Linked DNA regions of Ovis aries. The protein of the gene in region 1 binds, or shares a complex with, the protein of each later gene. Links are inferred from orthologs where the notes say so. Each region holds a gene or a part of one and is shown in the gene's direction. Other genes may lie near its edges.

Region 1 (3,645 bases):
GAAGGGCTCCCAGCCACTAGCGCTAGCTGTCCGGAGCATCAGCCCTGTAGACAGCAGCCTTGGATGCTGGGAGCACTCTTCGTCTTCTTCTGGTCCAGCTTCTTTTGTTTGTCCCTGTGGGGCCTTGGGAGAGCTGCAGAGCAGGTCGCCCAGGCTGGTGTCTGGGTGCTGCACCCCTTCTTGACAGTGCAGGGCAGGGCCATGGAGGGGCTTCCGGGCTGTGCCCCTTGATGCGAGCTGCACTAATGACATGTCCTGTCTTGGCAGCAGGCTCCAGAGCAGGAGATGGTGCAGGTGTTCATTCCTGCCCAGGCGGTGGGCGCCATCATCGGCAAGAAGGGGCAGCACATTAAACAGCTCTCCCGCTTCGCCAGCGCCTCCATCAAGGTGACCAGCTCTGTTCTCTTCTGGTTCCCGGGGTGGGGGTGGCGGCTCTCTGCTCCCATCTCCCTCTCCTTTGGTTCTCAGACACCCCATCTGCCTAGCGTTAGGGCTCTCTCCTGTGGGCTCCCAGTTCCTTTTGCTTTCGACTTCACTTTCAGACTAAGGGAGGAAGTGGTATCGTAGCACAGGAGAGCTTCAGTTCAGGCAAGACTGACTGGGTTCAATCCCAGTTTTTGAGCTGTAGTACCTGAGCCTTCATTTCCCCGTCAGTATAGTAGTGATGAGAATAATCTGAGATGATGCAGCCAAAGCCCCCAGCTCAGTGCTTGGTGCACAGTGGTTGCTTGGTAAATTTTAGCTGTTTCCACCTTCCCTGGTCAGGGAGAACCTGTCACAGTGAACGAATACTTTGTTAAATTTCACAAGTCTAAAGCCATTGGTTTTAGTGGTCTGCAAGGTTTTGGTCAGATGGAGTCTATGTTCTCTGGTGAATAAGGGCTCCCAGAGATTCTCTAGGAGATCAGTCCGTTCCCTTCTACTGCCCCCACCACCAGTGGTCCTTCTTGGCAGGACTCAACTGAACCCCTCTGGGCGGTGAGCAGGGAGGTCCTACTTAGAAAACGTCAAGAAACAAATGCGCTTGTGCCCTCGTAAGAGTTTTGACACAGGGCCAATAGCCTTGGGTCTGGGGTGTTTGTTCTTCACTCTCTAGGCCATCAGAAGTGGGAAGTCGAAGCAGGGTGTTGGTAGGGTTCTGGAGGAGAGGGCGATAGAGTGCTTATCTGTGACCACTGTTTGCTTTGTAGATTGCTCCTCCTGAAACTCCAGACTCCAAAGTTCGTATGGTCATCATCACTGGACCCCCAGAAGCCCAATTCAAGGTTCTGATCTTTATTGTTTTTTCGAGTAGGACCCACCCAGGGGAACCAAGTTTGCGTGGGAGTGCAAATCTGCATCAGATTTTAAGCTTCCCTGTAAATTCGGGGCTGCACAGCTGCTTTCAGACTGACATCCAACTTGCATTCTTTTGCCTTCCCTCTCTGCTTCCTGAGAGTGGATAGGCACACAGGAAAAAAGGCCCTCTCCTTGCCCTCTGCTGTAGTGACTAAGGAAGGCTCTTCTCTCCTTTATGTCCTTGCTGCGTTCCTAGGTTCTCGGACTTCTGACAGCCAGCCAAAGAGCTAAGAAAGTCACTTGCTCTGATCTAGGGAGGGATGGAGAATGGGGACAGCCCTAGGCTGTGTACAGTGACCAGCAGCCTGCCACTGAGTGACTCCTCCACTTGCCACTCAGGGCTTGACTTGCCATTCACTGCTTGTCCGAGTCCACGCAAGCCTCCCAGACCCCTCAGGTCTGGTTTGTGGTTTAGGTACTGTATTCGTCTGGGGAGTTACGTATTCATATTCAGTTACTTTGCCCAGGCCTCCCAGTGTTAGAAGTGAGCAGGAGTGTTGACAGGTCAGTGCTGTGGACCCTTCGCGCTGCCTGTCCGAGGCGGTGATCTGCCCCTCACGAGGGAGTGGGGCGTGGGGCGCTTCCGTCTGTCATGTATACCTGTATTGCCAACATAACAGTGACCTCCTTTTCTCAGGCTCAGGGAAGAATTTATGGAAAACTCAAGGAGGAGAACTTCTTTGGTCCCAAGGAAGAAGTAAAGCTGGAGACCCATATCCGGGTGCCAGCGTCAGCAGCCGGCCGGGTCATTGGCAAAGGTGGCAAGACGGTGAGCCATGAGGGTCAGGTCGGAAGCTCTGGATGTTAGTCCCTGAGCCTGACAGCTCTGCCCTGGCCCCCACTTCCCCAGGCTGAGTGACCTCTGAGTGTGAGTCACTTGGTTGTGTCTGACTCTTTGCAACATGGACTGTAGCCTGCCGGGCTCCTCTGTCCGTGAGATTCTCCAGGCAAGCATGCTGGCGTGGGCGGCCATCCCCTTCTCCAGGGGCTCTTCCAGGTCTGCTCAGCCTTAGTTCTTGCACTTTGCCCCTTTACTTGATTCTGCTCTCCAAGCTCAGCTCCTGAATCCTCCAGTTTCTACCAGCTAGTGACTAAACTTCTTGCCCCTTCCTCCACTGCCATCCACGTTTGACACTGTCAGCACTCAAGCGCCTCTCTGACCTGTCCTCTGCCCTCACCCCTGCCCCCAGGTGAACGAGCTGCAAAATTTGACAGCAGCTGAGGTGGTGGTGCCAAGAGACCAGACCCCTGATGAGAACGACCAGGTCATCGTCAAGATCATTGGGCATTTCTATGCCAGCCAGGTACATGTGGCACTCCCCCGTCACAGGAGGGTGGCAGGAACCTGGGGATCAGAGGAGCGGGACTCTGCCTGCCTCTGGCCTGGGTCACTCTTCTCTTCCAGGTGTAGGGTGTGATGTGTAGATGTCTTATTCCCTCTTAAGACTGTAGGAACAGTGATTTGACTGTTTTCGTAGGTATGTTATGTACAGTAACTATTAATGTTACATGTCGTATGTTATATGTTGATAGTCTTTGCTGTCGTCTAACCACGTGGTCCTTCTCTTTTGCACTGGAGAAGAGAGATGGGTCTTAGCGCTGCCCAGTCTGGTTTGTGGGGTGACACCATGGGTTGCCCTTTTCCAGGGCATTTCCTTCACCTTTCCCAGAACCACTGCTCCATCCTTGCTTCCAGTCCTTCCAGCTTCCTGGTCTCGTCCTGGCACCCACCATCCGTTTCTGTGCTGCTTCCAGTGAGCCCGGCAGCAGTGCCCAGCGTTGTGACCCCAGAGTCTAGAAAGGAGGGCAGGTATCAGATTCACATTACAGGATGACTGAAACTAGTGGGGTTTTCCTAAGACCCCCGATTGTTGGAGCTAGAAGGCTGTGAAGGCTATTGGATACCACCCCTTTCATTCCCAGAGGATAAGCTTGTTAACAGGTTTGTGGCCCACCTGAGGCTGCTCATGAAATCAAGGGCCAAACAGGAACCCAGACCCCAGCGTGGTGTGGTAACTTTCTCTGACAGTCCTTTGGGAGCCATTAATAGAAACCTATATTCAGGTCAGGAAGCAACAGTTAGAACTAGACATGGAACAACAGACTGGTTCCAAATAGGAAAAGGAGTACGTCAAGGCTGTCTTGTCACCCTGCTTATTTAACTTATATGCAGAGTACATCATGAGAAATGCTGGGCTGGAAGAAGCACAAGCTGGAATTAAGATTGCTGGGAGAAATATCAATAACCTCAGATATGCAGATGACACCACCCTTATTGCAGAAAGTGAAGAGGAGCTAAAAAGCCTT
Region 2 (3,645 bases), on another chromosome or scaffold:
TCACAATATGGCCGTATCATCACCTCACGAATCCTGGTTGATCAAGTCACAGGTGAAGTATTTCTAGGCTATTTCCTTCCTTTGGGTCAGTGTCACCAGCCAGTGCCCTGTGACCCACCGGAGCAGAGGGGTAATGGTCACTTAGGGAAATGGATATGGGTCACAAGTAGACAGCTTTTTGACTTAAAAGAAAGACTTTTTATCAATCAACTGCTGAAATTTAAAATGGGCCATCCTGGGAAGTAGAAGGGCTCCATCATGGGAATGGTTCCAGCAGCAGCTAAACTACTTGGCAGAGTTGTAATGAGGATTCAGCCATCAGGCTGGGAGTGGGGCTGAATGACCTTCAAAGTTTCTTTCAACCCTCAACCAAACAACATTACTTTTGCATGTGAAAAGAACCTCTGTGTATAGCTCTGGCTGCTCTGATAGCACTGTAGAGTTAAAGGGAAACTGAAACTGGCTCATTTCACAGGTAAGAGAACAGAGGTCCAAAGTGGGACACCTGTCCAGTTAGTAGCAGTGCAGGGATAACCTAGGATTGGATCCTGTGGTACTTGGGCTATCATAAAGAAAAGCAGCTGCCACCAACTCTCAGTAAGAAAGGCACCCAGGTTGCATTTTTGATGACAGAAGGTTTCCACCTACTCTAATTAAAAACACCCCCTGAGAGTCATTTGAAAGTGAGAGTGTTAGTCATTCAGTCATGTCTGACTTTTTGTTACCCCATGGACTGTAGCCCACCAGGCTCCTCTGTCCATGGAATTCTCCAGACTAAAATACTGCAGTGAGTTGCCATTCCTTTCTCCAAGGGATCTTTCCGACCCAGGGATCCTACCCAGGTCTCCTGCATTGCATGCAAATTCTTTACCATCTGGGCCACCAAGAGAGTCGTTTAGCGTGTATTTATCATCTGATTATTGCAACAAACCTCACTGAAGGCAGCTCTGCCCCAGATGCTATGCAGAGGGACACCAGAGATCAGGGACAAAGGTGTCACAGCCCCATCCTTACAAGACCACAGTGTGATGAGTACCAGCTAGAGCTGCCCAGCGCCCCAGGAGAGCTCAGGAAGTCTCCATCAAGGGGATGGTGTTTGAACAGAGTTTTAGAGAATGACTTGAAGCTGTCCAGTGGGAAAGAAAGATAGAACATTCTAGGTGGATAGGATATATCCCATAGAATAGGTGATAGAACATACCCAAAGGCACGGAGTCGAGGAGGAACACAGCCTATTCAAGGACTGTCTGGCAGTTAGCTTGGCTTACATGAGGTTCAACAGGGAGTTGGGACCAGATCATCAGGGGCATTAAATGCCATGCCAACAAGTCTGGAATTCCTCTGTATGCCACCTGGAGCCATGGAAGGGTTTTTTATGGGTTTTGTTCATTTGTTTTTCTGCCATTGGAGTAGGGAACAATGAGGAACAGGTACATTCACAGGGTAAAAAACAGAAAAGGTACAAAAAGGTATAAATGGTGTTTTTAAAGGGTATCATATGGTCAGAGTTTGCTTTCAAATGGATTACTTAGTTGCCAGGTATGGAGGGCACATTGAGGGGCTAGAAACTGGACAGCAGATGATCAGTTACAGCAACTAAAGGAAGGCTTGAGGGCTGAGCAGGATGGTGGAGGAAGGCAGGAAGGGACAGATGTGAAATATGCCTGTGTTCTATAGGCAGGAATTGCCAGCCCAGAGCCATGATAGCAAAAAAGGCAGGCAGATGCATTTTGATGGGTGAGAGAGATTCAGGAAGCCAGGCTCAGCCCTGGCCCCACAAGTGGGCTGACTCCCTAGAAACAGCAATGGGACTCGCCCATAACTTCCTGGGGATCTTTACCAGTTTGGTTTGTTCACTGTTTACAAAGGCTTTCTCTTTCCCCAGGAGTGTCCAGAGGGGTGGGATTCATCCGATTTGATAAGAGGATTGAGGCAGAAGAAGCAATCAAAGGCCTGAATGGCCAGAAGCCCAGCGGTGCTACGGAACCGATTACTGTGAAGTTTGCCAACAACCCCAGCCAGAAGTCCAGCCAGGCCCTGCTCTCCCAGCTCTACCAGTCCCCCAACCGGCGCTACCCTGGCCCACTTCACCACCAGGCTCAGAGGTTCAGGTAGGTGCACCCGCAGGCGCAAGAGCCCTATTACACGAGTACAGAGTTGGGCAAGAGCCAGGGAAGCCCTTGGCCCTGAAGGATGTGGCTGAGTGAGGACATCTGCCCCCTGGAATCACTGCGGGACACTCCCCCTGAACCTCAGTTTCCACTGCTGTAAAACGTGATGACGGGGCCAGGAGGCTCTTCTAACTAGCACATGACTTTCAAACTAGCACATGACTGTGACTAAACTTCAGATTCTTTGATTGAAACAAATTTCTACATTTAACCAGGTAAGAAGGTTCAGTTTCAACAGGAGTTCATCACAGATAAGGGACTACATTCAGCAGTTTAGACTTAAGGCTAAGGCAGTGAATGACTTTTAATGAAGTCAAAGAAAAGAGTAGCCCAGGAGGCATGTCCTTGCCAAAGGGAGTGGTATGGTCTGCTCTCCTCTTTCTCTTGCCGGTGCTTCTATTGGGTTGAGTGGGGAGATCTGCTCTTCTGTGTTAACTTCTCTCTGACATCAAGTCAGCAGACTTTGGGAAGACAAGGAGGAAGGCTTTGTCCAAGCCTTATTAGCATTTCCCTGAGGTACCCAACCCCTAGGAAGCTCCAGGTGCAGTGGGATGTCTGCTTCTCCTGAGACATTTCTAAAAGGCAGATATCTCTCCATGAAGGCAATCTGACATTGACCAGTCTCTACTGTACAAGAGATAAGAATATTGTTAACCTACCCACAATAATTCTAAATAATTATTTTAGTCGACCCATGCCCTAACTTCCCTTTGATGAAAGGGTCTTTCTCTTTTTCAAACATCACATGGATAGTAGGCCCTTCCATCTGGCCACAAAGAGGAGAAAAATCAGCCTCCGAGTGTCCTCCCATGCCCCCTGAATATGAAACGGTTAATGATTTCATGAAGAGTCCAAGTCATTTAATTTTTATTTTGTGTGAGAGCACATGCAGTATTTATGTAAAAAGCCTTTCCAGCAGGCTTCTAATGGTGGAAACTATGGTTACTACTGCCCCATGATGTGAAAAGCTTGTCCCTGAGTAAGATACTGAACATGAAGGAGATTGTAACAAAATGGCAATTTGCTGGGAGGTGCTCTCAGGTTGTAAATAGTAAGCTGGTTTAAAAAATAAATAAAAAACTCTGAACCCTCTCTCCTGCCCAAAAATGTGTGTGGTAAGAAGATTTAGTTAAAGTAGTCAGGCTACTAAGAAAAATCCATTCTGATAGGCATGATGTGTGTGCATGTATTGTTAATCCATCACAGAGACCTTTATTCACAAATTTCATTAAAATAAAAGGTGAACAACATAAGAAGCCATCAGTCCCTTTTTTAAAAATTTCACACACAACATAAATAATATCCACACATGTTCTAAGAGATGGAGGGGAGGGGAGTGAGATTAATTTAGACCTTGAAATAAAGGAAGGTTCATTTAGACACTTGCTTTAAACTCTAACATTGACCTCAACATGAATTACTTTAGGTAGGAAAAGGGGAAACTACCAGTGGATAGGCTCCCGAGCGCTGGGGA
Region 3 (4,382 bases), on another chromosome or scaffold:
ACACCCTGAAAGGGACAAAGAAAAAGATTAAGGTGTTTTCCTGAATGGTTTTGTTTTCAGTTGAAGACAGCAAACCCATGAGGAAAATAAGATTGAGTAAATGCTGTGTTATTCTAATCATAGGAGAAATACTAAAACAAGGGACTAACCACAATGAGCTAGAAGAGTTAGGGAAAAAAACTTAGCGAAAGAGGTGAAAAATAAGGATGGTAGGTATGATGGGGTCAGATAATTGATTAGTCTGGATTCTCTGGAACAATCCCAACTTGAAATATTCTGTACTATTGACTCTGTGGGAAGCACTAGAGTTCAAAAATTTAAGTGACTACTACAATAGTTAACAATACAAATTATTTCAAAGACTGAAGACAAAAGGATATCCAATTTGAGCAAAAACAACCTTACAGTTTTTAATCTATTCATTTTAGTAAGCATGTGATATGTACCCCAGTTGTAGCAGGGAAAAACCAGTTCTGACTCCACTTTGGAACTATCTGACTGACTTTTAGTTTTTTGTTATTATAATCATACATAATGGCCTGCCTGAGAGAATCTTGCCCCTCTGCCTGTTAAAGTGTCTTTGTTCAGACCCCGGTCCATCTGTAGATGGCAGGAAGGAAGAAATGAACACATCTCTGTTTGAGGCTTCTCTTTCTAGGAGATAGTTGCAAGATTAATGGCCTTTCTATTTTCTTTCTTCACCTCCCCCAATCTGGAGTCATTTGTCTGCCATCTTCTTGGCCAGTCAGCTCTCTGAACATAAAGTCATATTCCTTGCTTCAAGCTCGCCCCTCTGATTCATTGGCCTGTCCATGTAGCAGGCAGAGTACGCTTGGACTCCGTTAACACAGAGAGTGGCCTGAGTGAGCCAGGCAGAGTTCCTGCCTTCATTGAGATTATTTCTCTCAGGAGACATTCCTGTTAAGAGTATTTTAATCACTACAACAGTATCTGTTGAACACCTACTGTGTGTCAGGAACACACAATAAGCCCACTTCACATGGTGTCTAGTTTAACTACCCTAACAAGCCTCTGAGGTCTTCCCCGGTGGCTCACCAGGTAAAGAGCTCGCCTGGCAATGCAGGCGACACCGGTTCCATCCCTGGGTCGGGAGAAGGAAATGCAACCCACTCCAGTATTCTGGCCTGGGAAACCCCATGGACAGAGGAGCTTGGCGGGCAGACAAGACTTAGGAGCTAAAACAAAAACCCTATAAAGTTAGCACCTAACATTTCAGTTCTGTCTTGGAAGGGCACCTCATCTACCACAGGTCCCTATGACAAAAGCTGCAAAACATTTTGATGCATTAAAATGCTACCGGGTCCCCCAAGTCGCCCAAACTTTCAAACGCTACACAAGGAAGTCAGGCCGGGACCGCGGGCGCCATTGGCAGCCCCATCTCCCGGGCGACCAGAAACTAACGGCCGCTACGTAGCCGCAGCCCCGCCCTTCCCTCACGGCGGCCTGGGCCGCCCGCCCCGCCCCCCAGCTCGCTTTCTGCGCATGCGCAGAGCGCTGGCCCCGCCCCCTGGCGCCGCGATCGCAGCCATTTCGCAGCCGCTTTCTTGCAAGTTGCGGTTTGCTCTCCGGTGTCCGTCGCTAAAAGCCCGTGCTACGGACGGTCCTAAGAGGGCTGTGCTCTCGGGCACCAGGAAAGCAGAAGAGGGTAAGGGGAAAACGGCCTTGTGGTTTTCCTTGGGCCGGCGTGGGCCCCGCGGCTCTGCAGCAGGGCTTTGTTCGGTGGCGCGGGCGGTGGCGGGTTGGGGTGGGGGTGGGGAGCCGCCTCGCCGGGTTCCCGGATTGCGGGCTGCGTGCTGCCCGCCGCGCTGCGCTGCCCGTGAGGTCGGGGGAGCCCCGTTGTTGCCCTGCTTGTTCGCACACCCTTTCCCGGCCCGGTCTGCTTAACGGCCAGGCCGCACTTCCTCCTCCGGCCTAGCGCGGCGGCGCGGCTCTCGCCGCAGAGGGAAAGGTGTGTGGGGGCGGGGTGAGTCGTCCTGTGGGGCTGAGCCCGCCGAGGCCCCGCGCTCGCCTTAGGGCCCTTCGGTCGTTCAAGACGCACAGAACGGGCTGTTGTTTCGGGGGCGCTGTTCTGCGGCCGCTGTAGACAGAGAGTAAAGGGCTGAGGCAGCGTCCCGGCCCTTCCTTTCCAGGGGTTGGGGTTGGGGGAGAGGGAGGCAGTCGGAAAACAGGCGTCTGCAGGTTTCCGTCAAGAGGTGGCGAGGAATTAGTGTAAAGGGAGAGAGCCACTTGAGATCGGGTGGCGAGGGCAGGCGTCCCGGAGGAGGTAGTAGACCTTTGAACTGTCGGCCGCGGGGCGGAGGATGCGTCAGCGGCGGAGGAGGGGGCAGAACCGCAGAGGCCGAAGGGAGTAGTGAGTGTTAACAGGCAGGCGTTGGAAACTGAAAGAAGGCCATGTGACTGGAGTGTGGTGAGAATTTAAGGGAAGCAAGGATTCGGGGGTAGCTAGAGTGGAGGAAGTGGGAATCGTTGAGGACGTCATTCCCGCACTCCAGGTGTGCAGAGTGATAGCAGGGAGATGGGACACCTGCCTTGGAGGCAGAAGTGGGCAGTGGATGAGCAGTGGCCTACCTGGCTGGAAATTCTGGGTCCCCCAGTTAGGAGCTCTGTCTCTTGGGGCAGGTTATTCTTGACTTAGTTTACTCATCTGTAAAAAGGAAATAATAATAATGCTTTTTGCACAGTGTTGTAAAGGTTAAGTAAAATAGTTCACGTAGGTGCTCCTTTAAGGATACTGACGGGTACATAACAAGGGATGGCTATAGAGGATCTTCAGGGACTGGGTAGATCCCACACCGTGAGTAACTTGGTGAATGGTGGTGCCATTTGGGGAGATGGGAAAACTGGGCTTGGGAGGAAGAAGAACAGGTTTGGGGAAGAAATTTAAAGTTTTGTATTGACTGAGATGCCAAGGTAGCATCCAAATGGGTCTGTTAGATGAATTTGGTTTGGGAGGTTAAAAAGACTATAAATGTTTAGTATATATTTGGTTATCATTATGATATAGTTGGTGTTTAATATTATGGAGTTAGATGAGACTACCGAGGGAAGAAGGAATTTGATAGTGTAGTCCTTCATATTCCATGTTAACTCGTTCACCTTGAGGGCTTGTTTTTTAAATTGATTATTCATGGTTGCAATTTGTAGATAGATATCCTTAGCTTTCCACAGCTTTTCGTTAATTGGGTGTCTCCAGGGTTAACTTAGTTGGCAGACAAAGGTCCGCATCATCAAAGTTTGGTTTTTCCAGTAGTCAGTTGCAGACATGAGAGTTGGATCATAAAGAAGGGTGTGGGTGTATTTGTGGGGTGTGGGTGTGTGTTAGTCACTCAGTCGTGTCCCAACTCTTTGTGACCCCATGGACTGTAGCCCACCAGGCTCCTCTGTCCATGGAATTATTCTCCAGGCAAGAATACTAGAGTGGGTTGCCATTTCCTTCTGCAGGGGATCTTGCCCACCCAGGGCTTGAACCTGGGTCTCCTGCATTACAGGCAGATTCTTTACTGTCAGAGTCCCAAGGAATTGATGCTTTCAGATTGTGGTGCTGGAGAAGACTCTGGAGAGTCCCTAGGAGTGCAAGGAGATTTGCATCCTAAAGGAAATCAAGTATGAATATTTATTGGAAGGGCTGAAGTTGAAGCTCCAGTAGTTTGGCCATCTAAGAGCTGACTCATTGGAAAAGACCCTGATGCTGGGAAAGATTGAAGGCAAAAGGAGAATGGGGCTGCAGAGGATGAGATGGTTGGATGGCATCACTGACTCAATGGATTTGAGTTTGAGCAAACTCCGGGAGATAGTGGAGGACTGTCTGCCTGGTTTGCTGCAGTCCATGGGGTCTAAAAGAGTCCGACATGACTTAGCAACTGAACAACAACAGGGTGACTGACTACAAAATAAACTTTATACTAAGTCCAGTTTGATGACACAAGACTTAGGTGCTAACAAAATACACTGAGCATCACCAGAAGACAGACTTTTTGGAGTTTCCTCTCACATCACAGCAAATTGAATTTGTAGTGTATTTTCTCTGGTTCTAAATTTAGTCCCAGATACTTAGCTAGTAATTTAAATTCAGATTTTAGACCTAGGCTGAATATCTTTTGCTATCTTATAGAGGGAGTAGAGGGAGAATGCTAACAAGTGCAATATGTTGTTTTTCAAGAAGATGTAATATTTCCAAATTTTAATGAATATCAAGGCCTAAAGATTTGGTATAATATATTTAGGTTCATTAATTATTTTAAGTACTGATTAATTTATGTATTTGGACTTACTAACAATATATTGCTTGCAGCTTTGAGGACCGTCTGCTAGGAGACAGTGCGAATGAGGGTAAACTATTGGATTTATATACGAAATAATTG

Evidence for each region.
Region 2: IGF2BP1 (region 1) and ELAVL4 share a complex: the UniProt entries of both Homo sapiens proteins name them as parts of the TAU mRNP complex. The link is inferred for Ovis aries from reciprocal best matches to the Homo sapiens genes IGF2BP1 and ELAVL4.
Region 3: IGF2BP1 (region 1) and DHX9 share a complex: the UniProt entries of both Homo sapiens proteins name them as parts of the coding region determinant (CRD)-mediated complex. The link is inferred for Ovis aries from reciprocal best matches to the Homo sapiens genes IGF2BP1 and DHX9.

What each region holds. Positions count from the first base shown.
Region 1 is NC_056064.1:37,251,183-37,254,827, reverse strand, and holds part of IGF2BP1 (insulin-like growth factor 2 mRNA-binding protein 1), read left to right. Parts: intron 1-267; coding exon 268-387; intron 388-1,190; coding exon 1,191-1,265; intron 1,266-1,975; coding exon 1,976-2,107; intron 2,108-2,528; coding exon 2,529-2,756; 3' UTR 2,757-3,645. UniProt on the Homo sapiens protein: RNA-binding factor that recruits target transcripts to cytoplasmic protein-RNA complexes (mRNPs). This transcript 'caging' into mRNPs allows mRNA transport and transient storage.
Region 2 is NC_056054.1:24,708,101-24,711,745, forward strand, and holds part of ELAVL4 (ELAV-like protein 4), read left to right. Parts: coding exon 1-52; intron 53-1,885; coding exon 1,886-2,111; intron 2,112-3,645. UniProt on the Homo sapiens protein: RNA-binding protein that is involved in the post-transcriptional regulation of mRNAs. Plays a role in the regulation of mRNA stability, alternative splicing and translation.
Region 3 is NC_056065.1:63,343,429-63,347,810, forward strand, and holds the start of DHX9 (ATP-dependent RNA helicase A), read left to right. Parts: upstream 1-1,544; 5' UTR 1,545-1,666; intron 1,667-4,382. UniProt on the Homo sapiens protein: Multifunctional ATP-dependent nucleic acid helicase that unwinds DNA and RNA in a 3' to 5' direction and that plays important roles in many processes, such as DNA replication, transcriptional activation, post-transcriptional RNA regulation, mRNA translation and RNA-mediated gene silencing.